3 linked regions of the Caenorhabditis elegans genome follow. The protein of the gene in region 1 purifies or fractionates together with the protein of each later gene. This does not show direct contact. Each region holds a gene or a part of one and is shown on either strand. Other genes may lie near its edges. The genes, in order: ubr-1, tag-276 and pyp-1.

Region 1 (8,640 bases):
GGAGGCGACGTTGAAATGCAGTTTCTTGCAGCTTCCACTCAAATCATCCATCTCATTGTACAATCCTAAAACTTTTGGCTCGAGTGTAATGAGCTCACGGTCATAAGCATTAAGCTCGAGCATTTTATTATGGAATACTCGTTCCTGCTTCGCAATTTCCGAATGATAACTATTGACAACTTCTTGAAGGGCGGTGAAGAAGGCTTTTGTATCATTTCCACCGAGTCCTGCTTTGATTTCTTCTTCAGAAAGTGTGTCGCTTCCACTTGCACCAATTTTCAGGCCTGCAGATGTAGTTGCAGCTCCTTTAAGTCCTGATGTTGTCCATCTGAAATTAAGAGTTTTTTTTATATTTTTAAAAAGTAAACCAAAATGTACCCAGTTCCCTTAGCCAATGGTGTTGAAGTGAGCCCTAGGCCAAGTCCAAGAGTTGGAGTAGCTTCTGCTGGCTTTGGAAGAGTGGAAGTAGTGCTGGTTGTGGTTGGAAGAGATGGAGTTGCTGACACTGTAGATGGAGTTTGTCCCAATGTAGCGGCAGTAGCAGGTGTTGTTGTAGTTGCTGCTCCAAACAATCCACCGGTCGGACCTACAGTTGCTGGTGCAGTTGTAGTCGCAGCCCCGAACAGGCCACCAGTCGGAGCTGCTGCGGCGGGAGCAGTTGTGGTTGCTGCTCCGAATAATCCACCAGTCGGAGCTGTAGAAGCAGGCGTAGTTGTGGATGAAGCACCGAACAATCCTCCAGTAGAAGCCGCTGGAGCTGCACTAGTAGCTGTTGTGGTTGCTGGAGCTGTTCCGAACAAAGATCCAGTAGCTGGAGCTGATGTGGTGGTTGTCGATGATGCTCCAAAGAGTCCTGCTGTTGGTGCGGCTGGGGTCTTAGCAGGAGTTGACGATCCGAAGAGACCTCCGGTTGGAAGTGAAGCGGCCGGAGCAGCGGCGGTAGATCCGAATAATCCCCCAGTTGTAGATGAGGTTGGTGCTGCGGCTGCGGCGGTGGTGGCTCCGAACAATCCTCCAGTTGAAGCTGCCGCTGGGGCGGTGGCAGGGGCTGCCGCAGCGGTTGTAGAAGCACTAGAATTACCGAACAATCCAACAGATGGAGTGGATGCTGAAGCAGCACCAATGCTGAAAAGACCTCCAGTAGCAGCGGCGGGAGCAGTAGAGGCTCCGAAAAGACCACCAGTGGCTGGAGCGGACGAAGGAGCAGATGTTGGTGCTCCGAACAATCCTGATGTGGCAGTTGTAGTTGCAGCGGTGGTTGCAGGAGCGGTAGAACCAAAAAGACCTCCCGATGGAGCTGCAGGCTTTGGAGCTGCGCCGAATAGTCCACCAGATGAAGCTGTCGCAGCAGGTGCTGAATTTCCGAATAATCCAGAGGTTGGAGCAGCATTGCTAGTAGCTGGTGCAGCCCCGAACAAACCACCAGAAGGAGCTGGGGCTGTGGAAGTTGGAGCAGCTGAAGATCCGAATAAGCCGCCGGATGGAGCCGCTGTAGAGGTGGAAGTGCTTCCAAATAGTCCTCCTGGTGCTGCTGGAGCGGCCGTGGATCCGAATAATCCACTTGATGGCGCAGCAGTTGAGCTACCGAAAAGCCCGCCAGTTGGTGCAGTTGTTGCGGTACTTGTGGATGATCCGAACAAGCCGCCAGTTGGAGCAGCTGGTTTATTAGCTCCGAACATGCCAGCACCAGCTGATGGTGCGCTTGCGCCAAACGTTACTGTAGCAGGTGCTGCTGAATTTGCAGAACTTCCAAAAATGCTCGTTGAAGCGGGAGCTGGCGCCGCGGCACCAGAATTTCCAAAGATTCCAGCAGACGCTGGGGCTGGAGCTGCAGCAGAGGAGCCTCCAAACATTGAGCCTGAAAAATTTAAAATTATACTTTTTGAATACGGGAGCGTATTTTACAAGTTTATTAAACCAAAAACCTACCAGTAGCTGTGCTGTTTCCGAAAAGTCCAGTACTTCCAGTGCTCGGCTGTGCGGATCCAAAAGAAAAACCTCCGGTAGTATTCGTGTTTCCGCCTAAAAACGAAAAAAATAAATTAGTTGAATTTTTCATCGATCGATACCTGTGTTCGCTGTTGATGTGCTCGAATTACCGAAAGAAAATCCAGATGAGGCTGTTGTGGTAGCAGCGGTTCCTCCGAAAATCGACGGTTTTGGTGCAGATCCTCCAAACATTTGATCTGGAATGATATTTTTAATATTTTTAAAGGGCAGCAATATTATTTGACAAAAAGAAAACGACAGAGAGGCAGAAAATAGTCATTTGAGTGCACAAATGAGCGCGTCGAGATTCGAAAAATGATTTGGTGGTCGCGCGAAAATGATGGCCTAAAAACACCGCAGACTAGGCCGGCGGCTGGGAGGAGCACGCGACGTCGGCGTGAAGGAGAAAAATCGAAGATAATTTCATGTGCTGCAGTTAGTTTGAAAATATAAATATTTTTGGGCCCGAATGTCTTTGTGGTTTCTATTGCTATTCTAACTTCTCGATTACAACTTATAATATTGATCCATTTTTTATACTGATATTTTAAAAAAGTTATGAAATGTGAAGAAAGATCTCGATCATCGAAACGATGAGCAAGCTTCTGAATATGCAAAGTTTTCTATCACAAAGGGGTAAAAACGCGGGAGAACCTTTTTTTCCTGCTGACCAAGTACTTTTCACGAAGAAATACTTTAATTTTTGATGAAAATAAAAAAGAAAACTATATACAAACTCAAAAATCTAACAACTCTCAGCGATCCACGCAAATTAGGAAATTGAAAACAAAAAGAGAAATTTGTGTACCGTAGTCCGAACACTTAAAGGCGCATGCCTCACCTTCAGGGTCTCGCCACGATCCACTTCCCAAGGGTTTTATTTTTATTTTTTTAGATTGTTTTTTTTCGCGAAATCAGTTATTTTTTCGGTGAAAAAGTATATTTTATTGCTTTTAAAGTCAAATAACTTTTATTAAAATATAGTTTTAAATTATTTTGACGTTATATGAGTGAAACATTCAAAGTCCACGTGCTCTAAAGTCTGATTTTAAAAAAAAGTTTTTTTTTATTGCTTCGCCAGTGAATTCGCTGACACGTAAAAATAATCAATATTTTTAATAGTTCAATTTCCTCATTGTTGAATTATTTAATCCACGATGCATTGCACCGAGTCCGTGAGAGCTCTTTATCTGCGGCAACACTCTCGCATCGAAAACAGAGAGAGAGAGAAGCAAATCTATATCCTCCCGTTCTCTCTCATCTCCTTCACTTTCTCCTAGTGTCCACTGTCATCATTTTTGCCTCCCATCACTGCTTTTTGTCCTCTCGTTCGCTTATTTTGATATGGTCATCAGCAGCATAATCGGGGGGTCGGAAAATAATCAATATATTTTATTTTCTTTTACGAATCCTCTTTTTCTTAGATGAAATGCTCCTATTTTATCAAGCTACCGATTTCAGTTCGACTAATGGAATGATTGTCGATTTAATACAATCAGCTCGACAGGGTGAATGGGCCCAAGTACGCCAGCTGCTGCTCAAGCACTGGCTTGTACAGGTCCCAGAGGTGTTCGAAGTGAATTCGGATTTGCCATGGGACAATACAGCCGCGAATGAACGAATTCTAGGTGGGTTTTTTTGAAAAAAAAAACATATATATTAAAAAGCCAATTTTGCTTCAGGTTCCCAAGGAGAGATTCTCCTAGCCCCACTGGTCAGTGCATTTGTACTAGACGTTCGGAACACAAAGAGCACACTGGAAGCAATGAATGGCATTGCCGGAGTTGATCCTGCAAGACGGGGACAAATTTGTGGCCATGTATTTAAAAACGGAGAACTTACGTATACATGTCTGGATTGTGCCACTGATGGGACATGTGTCATGTGTCTTCAGTGTTTTGAAGTTTCAATTCATAAATCTCATAAATACAAAGTGAGGATGCCTCAAAATGAATCAATTTCCACAGAAAATTTCTGAAAAAAAACATTCAGATTTTAGCCGAAACTTGCCCTTTTTCTCGAAATTTTAAACCAACATAGACAAAATCTTGAAAAGTTTTTGATTATTTTGAGCGAATATGAATGATAAAACACGCATATTTAAGTAAATCCAATTTATAATTGAAAAAAAATTTCCAGATGCACTCTTCCTCCGGTTCGGGATATTGTGACTGTGGTGATGCAGATGCATGGACAGAAGGTTACGCATGTGCAAATCACGAGAAAAAGGACGATGAAGAGGCGGCAGTGTTGGCTCCAGAATTGAAAAAACGATGTGAACAGCTGGTGGAAATCATTTTACAGTTTTCCCTTTCAATGATCACTCATAAAGATGATCTCAAACTTCCCGAAATTTTCGAGAAAATGAAGCCAGAGGTTACAAATGAGGCACAGCAATATTTGACGGTTCTTTACAATGATGAAACTCACACTTATGAATCTGTTAGTAATTAATATTCCGAATTTCAATTAAATCTTCAATTTCCCCGTTTTTTCCAGGTGATCAAAGTTCTGGAATTGTACATACATTGTACAAAGGATCAGGCGATGCTTGTAGCCACAATTGTCGATCGAGAAGGTCGAAGTGCTGTGAAACTTGGCAGTAAGGCTGATTGCACCAAAGCTAAGGATGATGTTCAGAGAAAAACAGCTCGAGATCCAACGTCAATTCGAAGATCATCGAATCATAATCTACCGTTAAGTGTTAAGGTTATGGATACCACGCTTTTCGCGCTTCAGAATTTTTCGATCTCCCTTCTTACTTGGCTCAACACACAGATGGATGTTTTTCGTTAGTTTTTATTTCTTTTTATTTCTTTTCATTATTCGAAATCGTGTTTTTATTTTCAGCTCCCCTTCGCGAAATTGTTGGAGAAATTCTGCTGAGTTCAAAGTTTGCACTGAAAAAGAATTACACGCGGAAAATGAAGTCAGAGGATCAACGTCTAGTTGCCGGAATTATCAGAAATGTTATGGTTTTGCCGGATGATGAAGAGGAAGAACTATTCGCACTTGATGGAAGAATGGATGTTGATGAAATGGATGACGACGATATTGGTGGAGAAGCTCTGCAAATGGAAATTGACGCGGATGATGAAGAAGAGATAACAGCAGCGTTGGCAGGAGTTTCAGAACATCAAGAATCTCCAGGTCCTTCACGAGATTCTTCAACATTCACAATGCTAGAGAATATTCTTCTCCAGGATACACAAATGTGGAAAGCTGGAAGATCGATTTTGCATCAAATGCTCATGCGGACAGTTTTCATGATTTATGATCAGAAAGTTCGATTTGCAAAGGCTTTTATGCTACATTATAATGAAATTTACGAGGATTTCATTAAAGATGATCATGAGATGGATGTTTCAGTTGTTGGGTTATCAGTTCAATTCATGACTGTTCCTAGTCTGGCTCGGAAACTTGTCGCCGAAGATCAAGCATTCAGTGTGATATCGAAAGCGATTCGGGATCAGACTGATAAATTTGTGAAGTGTGAGTTTTGAAAATATCAAACCAGACGTGGGCGGAAATTTTGATTTTTGGCAAGTTTCCGGAAGTTGTTAGACGGAAACACTTAAAACTGGGATTCTTTTTTGAAATTTTTTCTTATTTTCTTCAGCTATTTTTATAAAATTTGCTTACTTTTCAAAATAGATGTGAGAACATTTATACGATGCGTACAATTTTGCCGATTGAAATTGAAATTCTCAAATTTTCAAAAAAGAAATGTGCAAAACCACAATTTGCCGAAAAAACGAAAACTTCGGCAATTTCCGTTTTGCCGGAAATATAGAAATAAAGCCGCCCTCCCCTGTATCAAACCAATATTTGAATTTCTCTAATTTTCAGATTACAATGACGGAAAAATCGCGAGATTTGATTTCACAAGTCGCTCATTTCCACCAGAATTAAGAAGATCCCTTCATATCACTCGAGATATGGCCTATATCCTGAATGCTGTGCCATCGGAAAGCGACTGGAATCGAGAACTTATCGATGGATTTGTTCAAGGATTCGCTGATTTTCTGCTTTTCCTGCAGCATCTGCAAGGAATGGATGAGGTGAAACGACAAGCCGTTGAGCATCAAGTGTGGGAATCTGAGTGGGAAACAGCGTTCAATATCCTTTTACGATTGAAAGACGCGATTTCGATGATTATTGGATGGGCAGAAACTAATGTGAGTTTTCCTGAAGTAATTAAAAATCTCAAAATAATTGGATTTTCAGGAAGAAGTTCATAATCGTCTAATGATAATGTGCCTTGAATTGATGAATCGTATGCCACCTGTCTATACAAAATCCGAGGAGGATACCTATGAATTGACGGTCACTATCAACGGAGAATCATGTCGAATATCACATTTTGACGTGCTTAAATCATCCACCTCGGTCCATCAGCCGGTTGTTCGAATTATCGCGGGTCTCTTTAGTGCTTCGAATTACACGGGATTTTTGTTGAATAGAAGTAATAATTCACATACGAGTTTGAATCAAGAAAGAATCAAAGAACTTATCAACTGTAAGGACGAGACGAATCTCTACGAACTGAGTCTCCGAGTGCTCGTCCTGTGTGCACAATCCAACGCGACACTTTGGAGAAGAAATGGATTTTCGCTGATAAACCAGATTCATAATTATTTCTCTCCACTCTGTCGAAATGAGATGTTCGATCGTGATGTTCTGATGATGCAAGTAGGAGCTGCACTCACACCGTCAACAAAATTCATTTTCCACCTTCTTCATCGATTCCGTCTCTTTAAATGGGCTACATCCGAGTTTGAACAAGACAAGGCGAATGAGAAACCAGCGAAACCGGAATCAGAGGATCTGAGTAAGACGTTGGTGATGATCGCTGAAGAGTTCATACAATGTCTGATTCTGATTCTCTGTGAACGGTATACATACGGAGTTGGAAAGACTCGTCCGATGGATCAGATGAAACGAGAAGTTATCCATATTCTTTGTACTGGATCTCATACGTTCAGTCATGTAAGACTTTTTTAACTACGAAGCCTCGAAAGACCGAATTTCATAAGGAAAATAAATTTCTCAGATAATTTTTATGGCTGTTCAAAATTTCGAAAGATGACCTAATTTCCTTAAATACTAGTAGCCTGTGTCTAAATCAACAAAGAAAAATGTAAAAAATAACACGATAGTCTAATACAAATTCGACCGCTGCGGCAAGGAAAAGTTGAAGAAATTGTATTTTCTTGAACCGCCTTTTAAAATAAAATTAAGTTTCGTTTTTAAGGTATTATCGGCCATTTTGGGTATAATAAAACAGAAAATGAAGGTTTTTATTCAAATTAACTTCTAAAATTTCCAGATTCAACAGAAAATGTCACATGATATCAATTCGAAGCGTCTTTCTCTTCATGAAGCAGTAAATCTGGTTGCAGACTTCCGAAAGCCACTGGCCACCACAGCTGGACAATTCCATTGCAAAGAGTCGAGCCTTCCAACCTATTCACCATTCTTCATGCATTATTCAAAAAGTGATCAGTCAGCTGCTGAACAGAGTCAGGCAAGAGTTCGTGCGAAAATGGAAAAGTGAGTTATTGAGTTTATATTTTACTATCAAAATTCAATACATTTAAGGTCGGTTCGAGCTTGTGCGCCGCCTATTCTTCCGGATTTTCAAACATTTTTCGAGCGGATTCCCGAAATTCTTACCACAAATGTTCTTATTCACGTTGTTCGTCTGATTATCGATAGAACAGCTCGACGTAGCCGTTTCTCAAGTGATCGTCTCTTCCACAAAACACTATATCTGATCGGAATCGCGTTAAACGAAGAGGAAAAGAATCCATCTTTCGGATTTACACAACGTGCAGAGGAATCGATCGGTCTTTTGTCGCTTTTAGAAGGACTTGTTGGAAAACCAGAGTCATCGATTTGTCCGATCCTTCTCGAAGTGACCGTCGAGAAATACAGAAAATTGATTAAAGCTAGAGCAGGTGTTCCTGAAGCAGCTCCAGCTCCTGAAAACAAGCCAGCACAATCCGAAGAAGAAATCAAAGCGAAGCGAGCTGCAAGGGCGGCGGAAATGAGACAAAAAGCGATGGCAAAAATGTCGAATATGCAGTCAAAGTTTATGAAGAAAATTGAGGACGAAGAGAAGAAAGACGAATCACAGACACCTTCTGAAAAATCTGAAACTGTTGTGAAGAAGGACGACTATGATAATAAGCATTTCTTCGATGAAGATGTTGTGAAGCAAGTTGGTCACGATTTTCCGGTTTGTATCGGTGCAAATAAGTGGCACGCGGAGCTCGTGAAACCCCGAACATTGACGTGTATTCTGTGTCAAGAGGATGAAATAATTGCACCGCAACAGGGAAAACCAATGGTTTGCGCAGCGTTTATTCAACAGTAAGCTGGCTAATTGAGTTTTTTAAAAGTTATTTTACAATTTCTTTTTTTTTTCAGATCTCAACTTTTCACTCATAAGAACAAAAATGGAGAGCTCATGACGGCTTCAAGTGGGACAATATCTACACGTGATCTTCTAACAGCACCAGCTACACTTCAATATGGAGTTGATGTTTCCACGTGTTCACATAGTATGCATTATGAGTGTTATCGAAGGTTCATTATTCTATAATCCAAAAAAGTCTAAATATTTTTTAATTTCAGTCTCGCCGAAGC
Region 2 (7,348 bases), on another chromosome or scaffold:
AAATCGAATTCTTTCAATTTTCAGTTCCTAAACCGCGTTCCACTGTCCGCCAAAGATAAGCCATTGCATCTTCGCCACCGACCGGTCCCAGTTCCACAATCCGAGCAAATTGATGCTCATTTGGAGGCAATGGTGGAGATCAACAAGCAACGGGACTATATTCGAATGAATGCAGCCGCTACAGTTATCAAAAGTGTTCAGAAAGAGGATACACCTTGTGAAGATTGAATAATTTATTTTTGAATTTTGATTTTTTTTGTTGTTGTTGTTGTTATTTCTGGTACGTTAAATCCCCATCTAAATACAATTTTTTGGAAATTTGAAAATTTCCACTTTTTCTCGGTTATTGATGTTCCCCCACCTGATCTTGATTGTTAAATTCACATTGTTTCGATTTCAATCCATTTTTTTAAATTTTTGTTGTTGTTTCCAACCTATTTTTTTCTGAAAAATAGACTTATTTTGAGTTCTTTGTATATTTTAACCGACAAATTCGCCCTGGATATTCGCCGTTTTTTGAAAATTCAAAAATTTCGGAAATTTTGAAAAATCTGACAGTTTTTTTTCAATTTTTAATTTCGAAAAAGTCCAAAAACTCTAAAAAATGCCAAAATATAAGAATTTATGAAAATTCCAAAATTTTCGAATTAATTTTGGAAATTTCTGTTAGGATTAAAATAACTAGTTAACGTTTCTCAAAATTCTGAAATTTTGAAATTTCTGAAAAAAATTTTAAAACTATTGAAAAATTAGATAGCTCAAATTTTTAAAAAATTCCGAAATCGCCTGAAATTTAGCTTTAAAATCTCAATTTCTAAAAATTCCAAAAAAAAATGTAGAAGAATGTGATAATTTCTGATAAATATAAAAATTTGAAATTCGCTGAAAATTTCTTATTTTTCCTATGTATGCGCAGTTTTTCTTCAGAAATAAATACAATTGCTATCAAAGAAAAAAAATAAAATGTAACTTTTTTTCGGGATTTTTAAAATCCGAAAAGTTCCAAAAACACATTTGAAATAATATAAATTCTCTGAAAAAAGGTGGAGTGAGGCTGTCCCATTACGGTTTGATCTACGAAAAATGCGGGATTTTTTTACCCAGAAAAATGTGACGTCAGCACGTTCTTAACCATGCGAAATCAGATTGAAAACTCTGCGTCTCAACTCCCGCGCATTTTGTAGATCTACATAGATCAAACCGACACCACGTGTAAAAACCCATAAAAATAAAAATTTTCAGAAAACACCAAAAGCTACAAAAACGGACAATTCCCAAAGAACCAAATTCGAAAAGCCTTTAGAAAAATCAGAAAATGTATAAAATTTCTGAAAGTTCCAAAAAACTTCTTTAAAATGCTGAAACAATTTCGGAAGATTCCAAAAAAAATACCTGAAAACCCATAATTGCAGAAATTTTGAAAAAGTACAAAAAAAAGTAAAATGTAATATTAGGTTGGTCAAAAAGTCTTTGCAAAATTCGTATGTTTCTTCATTTCTCAGCGTTAACTCGTTATTTTCCTATTCTGTTTTTTTATTTGCATAGTACGTAATGTGCATGTTTAATACATTTGAAAAAACTTTTGGGTGTTGTTCAAAATGACCGAGAATTTGCTCGCCGAAGGTCACACCCTCCGAGGGGTTTTCTGTATGGGTTCCCCCAAGGCTGCAATTGCAACGAAGCTCGTGGTAACATGTGTGCAGTGTTAGGCAATAATTCTGTCACCTATAATACCATAAAGTTTTGGTTCGAAAAGTTCACGAAAAAGAACTACGATCTCGATGATGAACCAAGATCCGGTCGGTCTCGTTTGGCTATCAATAAGGATAATTCGAGAGCCCTGGAAGATGATCCAAGAGCAACGAACCGTGAACTTTCTGCGACTCTCAAGCATCTCCAAAGAACCATCATCAACCATCTCCGCGAAACCGGAAGGGTAGAAAAGTTCGGTCATCTCGTTCCTCACAATTTGTCCGATTCTCAGAAAAATTGTTTTGTGACCTCTCTTTTTCGCTGCTCACTAGGAAACGAACAACAGACTGGGTATAGGATATCACTACTGGAGATGAGAAATGGGTATTGCATGTTAACTATACCAGAAAGAAACAGTGGGTCCCGGTCGAGGAAACCGTGAAACCTGACCTCAAAGGGGAACTTCAAGAGAAAAAGTGCTTCTCTAAATTTGGTGGGACAGTAAGGGTGTAATTTTCCGAGGACTTTTTCCAGACTCCGTTACAATCAACGCTGGCCTATACTCTATTCAATTGGAAAAGATGGTCCGTGCTCATCGATTACATCACCCTAGAGAATCAAAATTTAGGCTGCTCTATGACAACGCAAGACCGCATACAACTTTGAGGACCCGCCAGAAGCTCCAGACACTCGGAATCCAAGTTTTGTCTCACCCACCGCATTCGCCGGACTTGACTCCTACTGACTACCATTTGTTCCGCTCTCTCCAGAATCACCTTACCGGGCAGAAGTTTCATGATTGAAAGATCGTCGAAACGTGGTGGGACGACTTCTTTGCCTCCTAATCTCAGGAGTTCTGTGCGGAGGGTATTGCTCAACCTTCGTTGGGTTGGCAAGAAGTCATATACACTAATGGTGAATATATTACCCATTGAATCTCGTTCGCTTTGAATAAATACTCTCTCCAAAAAAAATTCAAAAAGTTGCAAAGACATTTTGACCAACCTAATAATTTATGCAAATTCCAAATTTTCTAAATACTCCTTCTTTAAACATTCCGTTAGAATTAAAGTATCCAATTAAAATTTCTGAAAATTCCAATATTTTTAAAAACTAAAATCTGAAATCCCCTAAATTTTGACAACTTTTTTCCATGTTCCTCAGGGAGAACCCTCCCTTATTTCTCAAACAAAAATGTACGTATGTACCAAATTTATATATTCACAATCGTAAACCAATCAATAACCATTGTTTCCTTCTGCTTTCCCATTGCCACGTTGCATAGCCCATTCCCCCCCGCCCATATATCGATTTTTTGTTGTTGCCAAATTGCAGCGTCCTACAGGGTTAGGTCTAGGTTAGTGTCATTCTTAACCACATATCTCAGTTCTTCTCTCACCTTTTATTTAACTCATTCTAAATGCCATCTCACACCAAGCCGGTCTCCAATGCTGCTCTCCCAAGAGTCCCAGCTCCACTGAGCCCTGCTCAACAAGTCAGAAAATACACTGACTACTTGCTCAAAGAGCACAACCGGTACTATGCACTGGAGTGTCTTCTCTTCCTCGACTGCCCGATTCGAGTATTCCGGGAATGCCGTACCGAGCAAATTGTCAAGAGCCAGTATGATGGACGGTATGAGTACCAGTACCCAGTCAACTTGTTGCTCCAGAAGCTTCGTCGTCTCGCTGCTCAGGAGTTGGAGCAGGATGTTGTGGAGCAAAAGATGCGGGAGGCTTCGAAGAACAAGGTGCTCTTCGCCAATGTGCTCAATATTTTTGCGGATTTGCAAAAGGAAGCGGAAAATTTCTCCAAGGTTAGTTTTTGTTGTTATTTTAAAATTTTGCTGAGAACTTTTTAATTTTCTGAAAACGAACTCAATTTTTAAAATAATAAAATAATTTTCGATTATTTTTGTACTTAAAATACCTACATATTAAGTTAAATTGCAATTTAAAAAAATTTCAAAATAAAAAATCTACACCGATTTTGCGCCGTAAATTTGGCCTGAAAAATAAAAATAAAATTTCGCACCAAATTAAATTTAAAAAAAAATTTCTAAACCTGACCAAACCACCTAAACTAATACTTTCCAGACTACAAAACAATCATCCACGTCACCATCAAGCTCCTCTTCATCCGAAGAATCGTCGGCTTCTTCCTCCCCAGTCGTATAATTTTACCAAACTTATTATATTCGTTGCCAATTTTTCATAATCTGTCATTATTTTCTTGTGTTTTCAACTAATTTTCCCTCATTTTTATTATCCAGTTTTTCAAAAAAACTAATCCCGATTGCAATGTTTCTTGTCAATTAAAACTGTACATCACAGATAAAACTTCAATTCAGTTTACTTATGTTTGCAAAAATATTCAGGCTTTAGGTTTTTAAGCTTTCAGGCTTGGACCGTTGAGCCCAGACTTGGATGCTAACATTTGAATTTAGATTTTCAGAATTATGGCTTTTGCTTAGGCGTAGGCTTGGGCTTAGGCATAAGCTTGGCGTCAGCTCTGAAAAAACATAGTCTGAAAATGCTCTCATTATCTACACACTCCAATTTTTCAGTGTTAAATAAATAAAAATTTGACTCCTAACTTTTTACATTTTTATAGTTTTATTAAAGAACTTGTTATTGTGAATCGAATGCGTTATGAATTATTGCAAAATCTTTGTTTGGCTTTATAGAGCAGTCTGAAAATGCTCTCATTATCCTAGGCCTAGGCTTAGGCTTAGGCTTAGTCTTAGACTTGGGCATAGGCTTAGGCTTAGGCTTAGGTGTAGTCTTAGGTGTAGGCTTAGGCTTAGGGTTAGGCTTAGGCTTAGGCTTAGTTTTCCAAGTTTTTGTATTAGGCTGTTTTTAAATTAAACTGTTTGAAAACATGTTCATTAGCTAAAAAAATATTTAAAAAATATAGAATTGGCACAAATATTCGAAAAAAAAAACAAAAATCAATAATTAAGCCTAATAGACCACAGGCTTCCGAATACAACATAGATAACTGTCGGTAGTGGAAGATGGTAGACACGTGTAGCCGAGTGGGCAGCTGGAATTATTTTAAAATATCGATTTTTGAACGTTAAACGTTTTCAACAATATATGTATGTTAGAATTTTTTTAATTCCGATTTAAAAAAAAATTTTAAAAAATTGGATAAAGATAATAAGATAATACTGATTTTTAGAGTTTCAAAAAACAATCGAAAAAAATTTTTTATTTTTTATTTTTCTGGAACTCACTCCAACGTAAACAGTGATAGACAACGCTGCACATCTTGATTAACATTTTTCGACGGCATATATGAAAATGGGCATGTCGGCTGCGCAATCACTTCTTCCTCTTCAATCGGCTTCTCAGTAGTTGTAGTAGTTGATGACGTCATAAACGTAAATGGCCCAATCATTGGAATCTGTGGTGGAAGGATTCGGTTCATTTGAATAGTACAACACACATAGACATCATCAATATCAGATTCTTGACACGAATATCCTGATCGAAGAATACACGGATCTCCGATATGATCACAAATGTATGGGAAGCCGTTTTCCATGAGTGGACGGGCTTCAGGGTCTTGGCAGTTTGGACTGTAATAAATATTAAGATATGATTAAGATACCTTTGATGGTTTAAAAGTAAAGTAACGCCAGTGGGGATTGTGTCTAAATACACTTAAAATTATTTCAAATGACCAAATATCATTAACAAACAGTCCAAAAATTTTTAGATTTTTCATTATTCCCGGTCAGTTTTGGAAAATTGCAAACATTTTGAAAAATATGAGCCTTTGAGGAAATCCAAAGCAATTTCGCATGTTCCAACCCCTACAATTTTTTAATACAAATAATTAAAAAAAAATTACAGTATAAAAAATGTAGAAAAAAATTTTTTTTTGGTTGACTTCCAAAATTATGAGTGGCAAAAACTGAGTAATTGTCACTTTTTGATAATAAATAAAAAAATTTCAAAAATTTTTTGAAATTTTTTAAAATGATATTCGATCATTTTGACACCAATGGAGTAGTTTTAAACACTTTCCCCTCTGGCGCTACTTTGCCTTTAATTAAGCAACCTACACAGATTCAAAAGGGTATGGTTCTGCAGTAGTTGTGGCTATGGTTATGGGAGCCTTCATAGTAGTTGTAGTGTAGTAGAATGGAGGGGGTAGAAGGGTTTTACGGCTGTTGCCGACTGAAATTTTTTTTTTTCTTGAATTTTAGTTTTTATAGGTTTAAGCAATAAAATACTCACGTCGATTTTTATACCGCTTACAGCAAATATGGGCGGTCTTCTCCTTGTTCAGCTCACAAAATGCTCCTTGTGAGCACGCCGGAAAAGCTGGGTCACATTTTTCACCGGTTCTGGAATAAGAATCAATACTGGGATTTTTTTGTAATTGAGTCATAAGCATTTCTACAGTAATCTAGACAATCAAGTACATTTGAAATTTTAAAAAAACTCGAGGAAATAAAATTTTTGGAAGTTTTTTTTGCTCTAAATGACATAAAATAGTTTCAATATACCGAATGTAACTGTAGAAAAATTCAATAGAAGCACCTAATAAAAAAATTTCGAATTTGTTAAAATGATTTTTCAATTATTCAACAATTTAAAAAACGGCCGAAATATATGGTTTGCGCGGGAATTCAAATTTAATTCGGCCGTTTCTTAGATTTTTTAAAAATTGACGAAAAATCATTTTAAAAAATTAGAAAATTTATTTAAAAATTTTCCAGATATATTTGGTCATTACGGCTCCATTTTCTGGCATTTGAATAGTTTTTAGTGTTATAAATCAAATATTTTTGCAAAATTGAAAAAAAATCGTTAAAAATTTAGAAAAATTTAGAGAAATTCCATAAATTTTTCTACAGTTATACTCGGTATATTAAGGCTATTTTCTGGATGATAAACACTGAATTAAATTTTTTGATAATTTTTGACAAACGGAAACTGAGCTACAGTACCCCAACAGTACACTATACAGTATACAGTACTACAGTACAATGTAGTAACTTACCCATTCTCCCCATTCCTACAAACCATCTCAATTCTTGAACCGAATGATTCCTCGGATGGACAACACCACATCTCATTCTGAATTTCCATGCACTTTTCATTTCTCAAACATCCGGCTGCGCACACACTTCTCGCAAACACTCCTGACGGGCATTGGGCTAACGAACAACATACACGAAGACCCGTCGGGGTTAGCGAACATTCGTAGCTGGAAATTTGAAATTTGCGGTGCAATTTTAGTTTAGAAGTTCTGAAAATGTTTAAAAATTTTTGTGAAATTTCAACTTTAATTTTCAAAAAATCAAAAAATTGATTCCAAGTTTTAGATGTTTTTCGGAAAGTTTCGAGCAAAAAAAATTAGCTCCTGGCTATTTTAAGAGCATGGCTTGAGCTGTAAAATTCACTTACCCCATCCCACATGGCTTCTTGTTACAGTCCCTCGGCACCAATCCATTCATCAAAATTTGACTTCCAACACCACAAATATCGTCAGAACTTTGACAGCATACCTCTACGTTACTGGTGCGGAATTTTGCGCAAACTCTGAAAATATAGAATTTGAAAAAAAAATTTTCGAATTTAATTTTTTTAAATTAGTTGAAATGTTAAATTTAAAGCATCATACATACAATTTTGCCAAT
Region 3 (9,111 bases), on another chromosome or scaffold:
GAGTATCGTCAGTGGAAATTTAGTCTAAAAATACTCATGATAGCCCAACATGTCTGATTATAACAAACCCAAAATGTTTAGATTTTTTCGAAAATTTAATTCAAAGTTTTGGTAATTGTCAAATGTTCCAAAACGTTGAAAATTTTTGCATTGTGCAGATTCAAGCCCCTGGAATCTTTAAATACTTTTTTTTGTTTTTTTTTTTTTGGTTCGCCACTTTTTGATCATAAATTTAAAACTGCAGTAGGGAAAAACCGCTTGTTCGAAAATATCCAACTATCATATTAAAACTAATTTTTTTCTGAATTTTTTAAATTTATGATCAAAAAGTGGCGAACCAAAAAAAAACCAAAAAAAAGTATTTAAAGATTCTAGGGGCTTGAATCTGCACAATGCAAAAATAGCTACTGACGATACTCCAACATTAGAAAAAACATATATTTTGAATCTGTAAATTTTCAGGAGACGCAGACGAATTCAAACGAGCTGTTAATCTTGTAATTAAAACAGTATCGTTTGAAAAGAATACAACAGTTCAAGTATTCGAATCAACTATTCGAGTGATGGGTGGTCTTCTGGCTGCTCATATGATTGCTGCCGATAAAACTAATCGATTTGGTCCTTTCTATATGTCAGACTACGGTGGAGAACTTTTAACACTTGCCCATGATTTAGCTGGGCGACTTTTACCAGCGTTCGATGGAACGGCCACCGGAATTCCTTACACCCGTATAAACTTGCAAAAGGGAATTCTTCCGGGAACGACAAACTCTACATGTACATCAGGCGCGGGGAGTCTATTGCTTGAATTTGGTGTATTGTCAAAGCTGCTTGGAGATGACACCTATGAACGACTTGCTCGACGAGTTAATGAAAAGTTGTGGAATTTAAGAAATGAGGTCACTGGATTGCATGGTATTGAGAAAATTAAAAATTGTGTTGCAAAACTTTATACATCTAATTTCAGGAAACTTAATTGACATTCAAACTGGAGAATGGCTTGGTCACTTAGCAGGCCTCGGTGCTGGAATTGATTCATTCTATGAATATATGCTAAAGTCGTACATCCTTTTTGGTAATCAACGAGATTTAGATATGTATAATGAATCATTTGCTCGTATCACAACATACATGCGTCGAGGTCGTTCTAGGTGTTCCAGTCTTGAAGGTGATATTCCAATTTATGTAAATGTTGATTCAAGAGATGGAAGCACTTCAAATACATGGATCGATTCTCTTCAGGTGACAGTTACATATTGTTGTTTCTAGTAAACTTTCAATTTCAGGCAAGTTTCGCAGGAGTTCTGGTTTTGGCTGGTGAAGTCGACGAGGCTGTGTGCCATCATGCCCTTTACTATGCAATTTGGAAGAAATACGGAGTTCTACCCGAACGATTCAATTGGCAGTTACAAGCTCCTGATGTCTCATTTTATCCACTTCGTCCAGAATTTGTTGAATCTACATATCTATTGTACACTGCTACGAAAAATCCATTTTATCAGCATGTTGGACTGGAAATTCTTGATTCATTAGAAACAATTACTCGAGTAAAATGTGGCTTCGCAACTGTGCATGATGTCATTGATGGAAGTCTTGAAGATCGAATGGAATCGTTTTTCTTATCAGAAACATTAAAGTATTTATACTTGTTGTTCGATGTAGATCATCCAATTAACAAGGAACAGCAAGAAAGTGTTCTTTTTTCAACAGAGGTATGAATATTGCTGATCTAGGAATTCTTACTTACAATTAGAAAAGTAATTTCAGGGTCACATATTTCCAATATCCCCGCTGTTCAATCTGCCTCCTACTCCGCCATCTCAATATGATCCACCTCTCAAACCATTGCCACGTACCAACTCATCATTTTGCGAAACTGCCACAGACTTCACTTTTGGAACCCCACCACTTCGTCATTCTCAAATGCGTGAATTGTTCAAAGTTATTGGAGTTGATTCGGTTCTTCACGATTGGTTATAATTTATTTGTACTATTGCATATCTGATTTCTTGTTGCCTTATATTTTATGTGGTTTTAGTTCTGTGATAGCAATATTTTTTTTCCGGTTAGCATTAAAATATATGAATTTCAATGATCTAGAAATAAATCAAAAGAAGATAGAATAATGAAATCATATGTTTACATTCTACTAAAATCAATAAGAGTTTAAGTTTTACCAACAATTATGACACATCGTTTGTGATTTGTAATCAGTGTAATACAATGGCGAATGGAGAAACCGAGAGGTATTGATAAGAGAAGACTGCTCACAGAGCAAAAACAAGTCCAAGCGGTTTTCAATATTAGATTCTCCTCCCAGAAGTGTTCTTTGATTGATCTTTCAGTGATGGTCGTTTCTTGATGGGCCTCGTGTTGATCGCCAAACGAAACAAGCCGCTGATCGCGATGATGGCTGCTATACTTTTCACAGTCGCTGTATTTTTGGCTACGAGGTTTGTTGCATTCGACTGTTCCTATTTGGTGGTTTTCAAATGCAAATTAATATTTAGCATATTTTCTCAACTGTCTGGGATTTTTATTTTATTTTTATGCGTTCAGACTTAAATATTTCACTGTTACCGTAGCTGAGGGTTGCGTCTGCATTTTCATGTAGTTTGTGGTGTGATGTGTGTGTACACTGCTATATTTTCGTAGGCCTATTTTTTACAAATTGCTGCGCTGGCAATGCTATTCTTGTTTTGTTTTTATCTTAATCAAATTTTTAGTTATTTTTTATACATATTAATTCTCAAAAATGTATTCAGTATTTGTAAAATTATCTGCTAAGAGTGATTAAATACATTGATCAATACTGAGTGGAGTTATTTATTAGGAACATCAACGATTAATTTTATTTTTTCTGCGTTTTTCAAGCTACATATTATTGCGATAAGGAAATTGAAAATGCATGTCTTCCATAACTTTTATCCGTGCCATTGAACAAGAAGCCATTTATCACCAAACATGCGAAGAGCCTTTTAGACAAGAAAATTAGCTTGTGCAAATTTATTTTAAACCTCTATTGAGTTGATGTTATCTATATTGAGATGTTCAAAAATTTCATGACTGAAATTAGGATTTCTTTTGGGCCCAGGTGAGAGTTTTTTATGCTGATTGTTTTGAGCCACAGGGTTTAGATAATCGTTGAATGATATTATCCTGCCTTATGTTTCAATTTTCAATTTAATCTTGCTTCTATCATGACGACATAACCAAATCCACACATATCACCAACTGCTTGAAAATGTGCATGCGCCACAGCGTCTCTCGTGTTTTCCGCATATATCTCACAAATGTCTGTAGTTGTCCTCATCTCTTCCTAGATGATACTGAGCTGTCGAAGTGTGGCCACGGCGAGAGGATTTTTGTTATCAACTCGTCTTATTATGGGCTGTGCCGTGAGCCAAGAAAGCGCCATCGCCACTGTCTCGTCATCTTCAAACACTGCAACAACATCCACCAGCAGTTCAAATACTTCACAGAAATGGGCCACTTCAAGGACATCGCGTCCAGTTACAAACGTCACACAGGCAAGACTGATGAGTATTGTTCTAGTTTTATTTTGGTTATGTGTAGGTTTCTGCGATTCACACCACTTCAATGGATTCCGGCAGCTCAACTGTCCAATTACCTTCTCCTCGTGGCAGTCTTACCACAGCCGTCTCCACCTCTTCTTCGGGAGCTCAACGACAAATGTCAGCCAATTCGGAGAGGAGTCTGCACACGAGGTTGCGTGTTGATGTTTCTTCCTTCTTGTGTCTGTGTCGTTTTTAAGGGAGGATAACGTTTTATATAATCCTTATTGATGTTTTCTATCACTTTCTAATAACTCACATCCATTGGTAGAGCGGAAAAGAAAAGAAAACAATTATTTAATCTAAATCTGGGTCATGCTCGAATCGCTGCTAGATCTTATATTGAGAAAAAACGTAGTTTAAAAATATTTAACCCTTCTCCAAAACTTCAGTTTGTCCAGCAGCCCCTTGTAGATGAAGTGTAGGCGTACTAAACTTTACCCCGTCACCTCACATTGCAAACGGGCGGTGTCAGCTGATAAGACTAGTCCGTCACCAAATGCTCAAAGAATAAAGAAATGTTGCCTATAATTATGTAACATACTTTTCAAAGATGCCAGTACACATGCTTATAAAATGACACTTTGTGTTTGGAAATTTATTTTCAAGTTGCTTTATTGTCTTTATTTGAATTCGCATTTTAAATTCTGGCGTATTTTTTTTTTAAACTTTTAACGTGAAAACTTTTGCAAATCCACGTTTTAATAGTTTCGAGTGGCAAAATGTTTAAAGATTAGTTTAACAAAAACCTTGTGAAAAATGTTCTCTTGGCTCTTTTGCGGTCGTTGTTTCCGAAACCCAAACAAGTTTGTTATACTTATAATTGGCTGTTATGAGTGTAGAAGTGTTTTCATGATAGCATCTAATTCCACTCGCAAACACATGTAGTTTTCAATATTCGCATTATTATTATTTTTCAGGCCCTTGTCGGAGACTGCTGTCATTTTGCAAAGTCAAGCTGTGAAAATGAGCACCGGAGCCGGAGATTCAGCAGTTTACGAAGCCGTCGAGCGTGGATCTCTTTATAGTTTGGATTATAGAGTTTATATCAGTGAGTCGAAGCTGCTATAATTATTGGTTCTAATATCTATTTTGCAGAGGGACCACAAGGAATCGTATCTCCTTGGCACGATATTCCATTGTTCGCCAACAAGGACAAGAGAGTTTACAACATGATTGTTGAGATTCCACGTTGGACAAATGCTAAAATGGAAATGGCCACCAAGGAACCATTCTCGCCAATCAAGCAAGATGAGAAGAAGGGTGTAGCTCGCTTTGTTCACAACATTTTCCCACACAAAGGATACATCTGGAACTACGGAGCTCTTCCACAGACATGGGAAGATCCAAACCATGTTGTTCCTGACACTGGAGCTAAAGGAGACAATGATCCAATTGATGTTATTGAAGTTGGATCAAAGGTTGCCGGACGGGGAGCTGTTCTGCAAGTAAAAGTTCTCGGAACATTGGCTCTCATTGACGAAGGAGAGACCGATTGGAAATTGGTCGCAATTGATGTCAACGATGAGAATGCTGACAAGTTGAATGACATTGATGACGTCGAAAAGGTTTATCCTGGACTATTGGCTGTAAGTTTCGATTAAACATTTTTCAAAATACGTTTCATTTTTTTTCTTTCAGGCATCTGTTGAATGGTTCCGCAATTACAAGATTCCAGCAGGAAAACCAGCCAACGAGTTCGCTTTTAATGGAGAGTTCAAGAACCGAGAATACGCGGAGAAAGTCATCGATGAGACCAACGAATATTGGAAGACTCTCATCAAGGAAGCAAACCCATCCTTGAACACGTAGGGATTTCATCGCTTTTAATATTCTAAACTTCAAATTTCAGAGTCTCTCGGGTTCCAGAAGCTGTTCACCAAGGAACTGATGAAGCGGCCGCAACTGCCATTGGCGCTACCCCAGAACATGGAGCAAATGCTCCACTACCAGGAGATGTTGATAAGTGGCATTTTGTGCAAGGATGACTAGTACGCCCTGGAAGCCGTGAAGCATCTTCAAAACTTTAAATTTATTGCACTGTCGCTCCCTGAAATTATACTGACTCCCTCATTCTCTTGTTTTGTTCCAACGTATTTGATTATTTGATTCCTTTAATTTTATATTGTTTTTTTCATTATTCGAAAAACTTTTAAAAATTGAATTGGGGATCTTCTCTGTTTATGTATGTGATGTTTTCTTTTTGGTTTACCACCATACGTGAATTATTTGTCAAATCCAAACAGATCTTTTAAATTCAAAGTTCCTTTGGAAAAAGCAGTGAGCAGAGTCAGCACGAACTCGATAAACAGAAGAAACAATTTAAATTTTGAAAATGCTGATTTCAAACATATACGAACGAACTTTTAAAAATACATTAGAAATATCGAGAAATTTCTTTCGCAAAAAAGGAACACAAACACTACGAGACGACGATAGCGATGTTTTTATGTCAAAGAAGAAAAATGCAAAAGCGCTCTATTTTACTGCTAATATTTCTATGAGAAACTTGGCGCCATTTTCCACTTATGTTCCTTTTTCTTCATTTCGCAAGCGCGCCACTTTTTTCAAATGAAAATCAATAATTTCATCCTTCTAGAATCTTCCACAAACAGTTTGTTTCGCATTTTTTCGAAACGTGCAGTGGTTAAAAATCATTCGCTTTTCAATCTCAATTCTCGCCGAAAGCTCATCATCAGATTCTTCTCTTTTAAGCCACCATTATTCGAACTGCATCAGTTTTCATCAATTAAAAACTATTTTCAGTGGTTCTGATCTTTCGTGATTAATGACTACCATCCTTGAGCTAACATCGGCCAACAAAACTAACAACAAGGCCACCAATAACAAGCTGCAGCGTGAAGGAGAAAACGAATATCCTCCGGCGAAACGATCCAAGACTGACGACGAAGAAGAACCAACAGTCGTAGGAAACGGAACGATCGTCGGAGCGCCAAAGCAGCAAACACTTTCTGGGGTCAATGTAAGTTGAAATGGAAAACTATTTTTAAAAAATCTGAATTAACAATTTTTAATTCATAAGAAGCTTGAAAAGAAAGCTCTCAGAGATTCAATTAATTTAAGAATCCTCGTTTCTTTCCGTTGTTTTGCTATTTCAACAAAAAGATAATGAGTGTTCGCCGAATTTCACTCTGATTTTTTAGTCGAAACAGCAGGTGAAAACCCCATTCAAAATGAGAACTGATTTTTCTACCAAATCACAAGAATAAACGCATTCTCCGTTCGCTTTCTTTTATATTTAATCTTCGTTCGCCCAGAAAATTAGAGGGAAAGTTGCCGTGGCAACCACGCAGAAGCTGGCGCTGATACACTGCTTCGTAGCCGACAATGAATAATAATAGTTGGGATTTTGTTGACGGATAGAAAATACATATCCTTAATGCTTACTCGTATATTCTCTATTTTAATTTAGTCCTTGTTTCATTATGTATATGGAATATATCAGGAAGTATGATCCGGGTTGGCATATGCCCAAAAAGGTAAGTTTTAAGAATATTCTGGAATTGTTTGAAATTGATGTTTTAGGCGTCTACTTTTGTAATCAGGTAAAATATTTTAGAGAATGAGGTTATAAATTGATGACTTTTTCATTAGATGAACTGAGGTGGTAAAATTGTCCCGATACATAATAACAATTTACGTTTTAGTTTCGGCCAGTGAAACCCTGAAAAGTGTATTTTCATTCGTAGTTCTATTTATTTGTTGTCAATCCCATGTTTTCTCTATTTCTCTGCGTCTCTGTTAGTCATCATATTTCCGTTCCCGCTCTTGCTCACTTTTTGTTGTGAAAATTGAATGGTTAGTCGACTTTCTGTATTCAACGCAGTTTTTTTCCTAAGCGTTATCAGTTTCGTAGAGTTTTCCAACTTCACAAGTTATTAGGCCAACGATTGCAATCAATAATGTTCTAGAATGTGATTCGCGCTTTGTTGATCGATGTGTTCGTTTATAGAAAGTTCGGACGAATCTTTTTTCTTCGTCTTCCTAGTTAGGTTCGGATTACGAAAGGACACTAACGGGCGGTTTGACAGTCAAGTTGTTTCTTTGCCTGCGTCTCTCTCTTTATTCTTCCTCGCTCTTTTCAATTTCGCAACGAAGTCATTCAGTTTTTGTAGTTTCTCTTGTAATTTCCCTGTGTTCCACTATGACTTATTTTGTACTGTCGCGCATTAGAAACAAATTATAACTACACTAATGACTCTTTTTTCTACTCCAGTTTTATGAAAACTTGAAAAGTATTTGCCATAAAACTCGATTTTCATGACAATTCAAAATATATAAAATTTCGCTCTAAGATATATTAACATGTCAATTATATCATGTAATGATCTGATTTTTCAGCAGTCTGGAAACGTGAACGTCGAGACGACCAAAAACACTGAAGGACAAGACGGTGAGAAGATGGACACTAGCAATAATGCCGGAGGAGTTGGTGGGAACTCAGATGAGCTTCTCGACAAAAATCTTTACTCCCGTCAAATGTTAGTTTGATTTTTCTATTGTTCTAAAACAAAATTGAATATTTCAGTTACACGCTCGGCGAATCCGCCATGGTCAACCTCCGAACTGCTTCCGTTCTCATTTCTGGTCTCGGTTCTGTAGGAGTCGAAATTGCAAAGAATCTGATTCTTGGAGGAGTTCGGCATGTTACTATTCATGACACAAAGCTTGCAAAATGGTCTGATCTCTCGGCTCAATACTACTTGCGCGATGCAGATGTTGGTCACAATCGTGCTACTTCTTGCTACGAGCGTCTTGCAGAGCTTAATGACAGTGTTAATGTACAAGTATCAACTGATGAGCTCACTGAGGAGTTTGTCAAAACATTTGATGTAAGTTTAAATTAATTTTGTGTTAAAAAACATTTTTTAACTTATAGCTTGTTGTTCTCACGGACGCTGCCCGTACTGCTCAACGCCAAATCGCTGCATGGACACGAGCCCACAATAGACGTATTCTGATTACTGATGCTCGTGGTGTATTCTCATACATCTTCAACGATTTTGGAGACAATTTCCGAATTGATGACGCTACTGGGGAGCAAGTTCGCGAGTTCTTCATTGAGCACATTGATAAAACCACTGGTGAAGTGACAACATTGGAGAATCTTTTCCATGGTCTTGAGGATGGAGATCACGTTACTTTTTCTGAAGTTAAAGGACTTACTGAAATTAATGGATGTGAGCCACTCAAAATCACCGTTAAAAATGCATCGAAATTCAATATTGGTGATTTCGCAGTTTCATTCTCCGACTACAAAGAAGGTGGAAGATGTAGGCAAGTTAAAGTCCCAACATCGGTATCTCATGTTCCATTCGAGAAATCTCTTGTTGAACCAGAATTCGGAATATGGGACTATGCCAAGTTCGAATACCCATCCCAGCTTCATGCCTTGTGGACTGCTCTTTACGCTTTCGAAGAAAAGTATGGAAGATCCCCTGCTCCTCGATCCACTCAGGATGCCGCATTGTTAAAAGAATTGATTCCTTCTGGTACTGAAGAAATCCCAGAAAAG

The links.
Region 2: the proteins of ubr-1 (region 1) and tag-276 fractionate together in Caenorhabditis elegans (co-fractionation; one large-scale study listed by BioGRID). This does not show direct contact.
Region 3: the proteins of ubr-1 (region 1) and pyp-1 fractionate together in Caenorhabditis elegans (co-fractionation; one large-scale study listed by BioGRID). This does not show direct contact.

The regions. Positions count from the first base shown.
Region 1 is NC_003279.8:3,811,620-3,820,259, reverse strand, and holds the start of ubr-1 (E3 ubiquitin-protein ligase ubr-1), read left to right. Parts: upstream 1-3,450; 5' UTR 3,451-3,463; coding exon 3,464-3,617; intron 3,618-3,671; coding exon 3,672-3,922; intron 3,923-4,128; coding exon 4,129-4,431; intron 4,432-4,488; coding exon 4,489-4,780; intron 4,781-4,839; coding exon 4,840-5,481; intron 5,482-5,838; coding exon 5,839-6,167; intron 6,168-6,216; coding exon 6,217-6,978; intron 6,979-7,318; coding exon 7,319-7,542; intron 7,543-7,590; coding exon 7,591-8,364; intron 8,365-8,421; coding exon 8,422-8,580; intron 8,581-8,628; coding exon 8,629-8,640. Other genes in the region: npp-11 (Nsp1_C domain-containing protein), read right to left, coding at 1-328, 379-1,858, 1,930-2,022, 2,070-2,181. UniProt on the Caenorhabditis elegans protein: E3 ubiquitin-protein ligase which is a component of the N-end rule pathway. Recognizes and binds to proteins bearing specific N-terminal residues that are destabilizing according to the N-end rule, leading to their ubiquitination and subsequent degradation.
Region 2 is NC_003280.10:12,244,843-12,252,190, reverse strand, and holds tag-276 (uncharacterized protein), read left to right. Parts: upstream 1-3,048; 5' UTR 3,049-3,112; coding exon 3,113-3,508; intron 3,509-3,788; coding exon 3,789-3,869; 3' UTR 3,870-4,066; downstream 4,067-7,348. Other genes in the region: parn-2 (Target of EGR1 protein 1), read left to right, coding at 25-228; Y57A10A.24 (EB domain-containing protein), read right to left, coding at 4,656-4,737, 4,931-5,275, 5,765-5,879, 5,940-6,049, 6,709-6,915, 7,116-7,250.
Region 3 is NC_003282.8:9,992,176-10,001,286, reverse strand, and holds pyp-1 (Inorganic pyrophosphatase 1), read left to right. Parts: upstream 1-3,323; coding exon 3,324-3,530; intron 3,531-3,576; coding exon 3,577-3,728; intron 3,729-4,495; coding exon 4,496-4,626; intron 4,627-4,673; coding exon 4,674-5,164; intron 5,165-5,216; coding exon 5,217-5,383; intron 5,384-5,427; coding exon 5,428-5,563; 3' UTR 5,564-5,902; downstream 5,903-9,111. Other genes in the region: C47E12.3 (alpha-1,2-Mannosidase), read left to right, coding at 463-915, 968-1,242, 1,287-1,712, 1,768-1,980; uba-1 (E1 ubiquitin-activating enzyme), read left to right, coding at 6,364-6,558, 7,938-8,077, 8,125-8,428, 8,476-9,111. UniProt on the Caenorhabditis elegans protein: Catalyzes the hydrolysis of inorganic pyrophosphate (PPi) forming two phosphate ions. Plays a role in intestinal development and subsequent normal secretory, digestive and absorption functions. Required for larval development.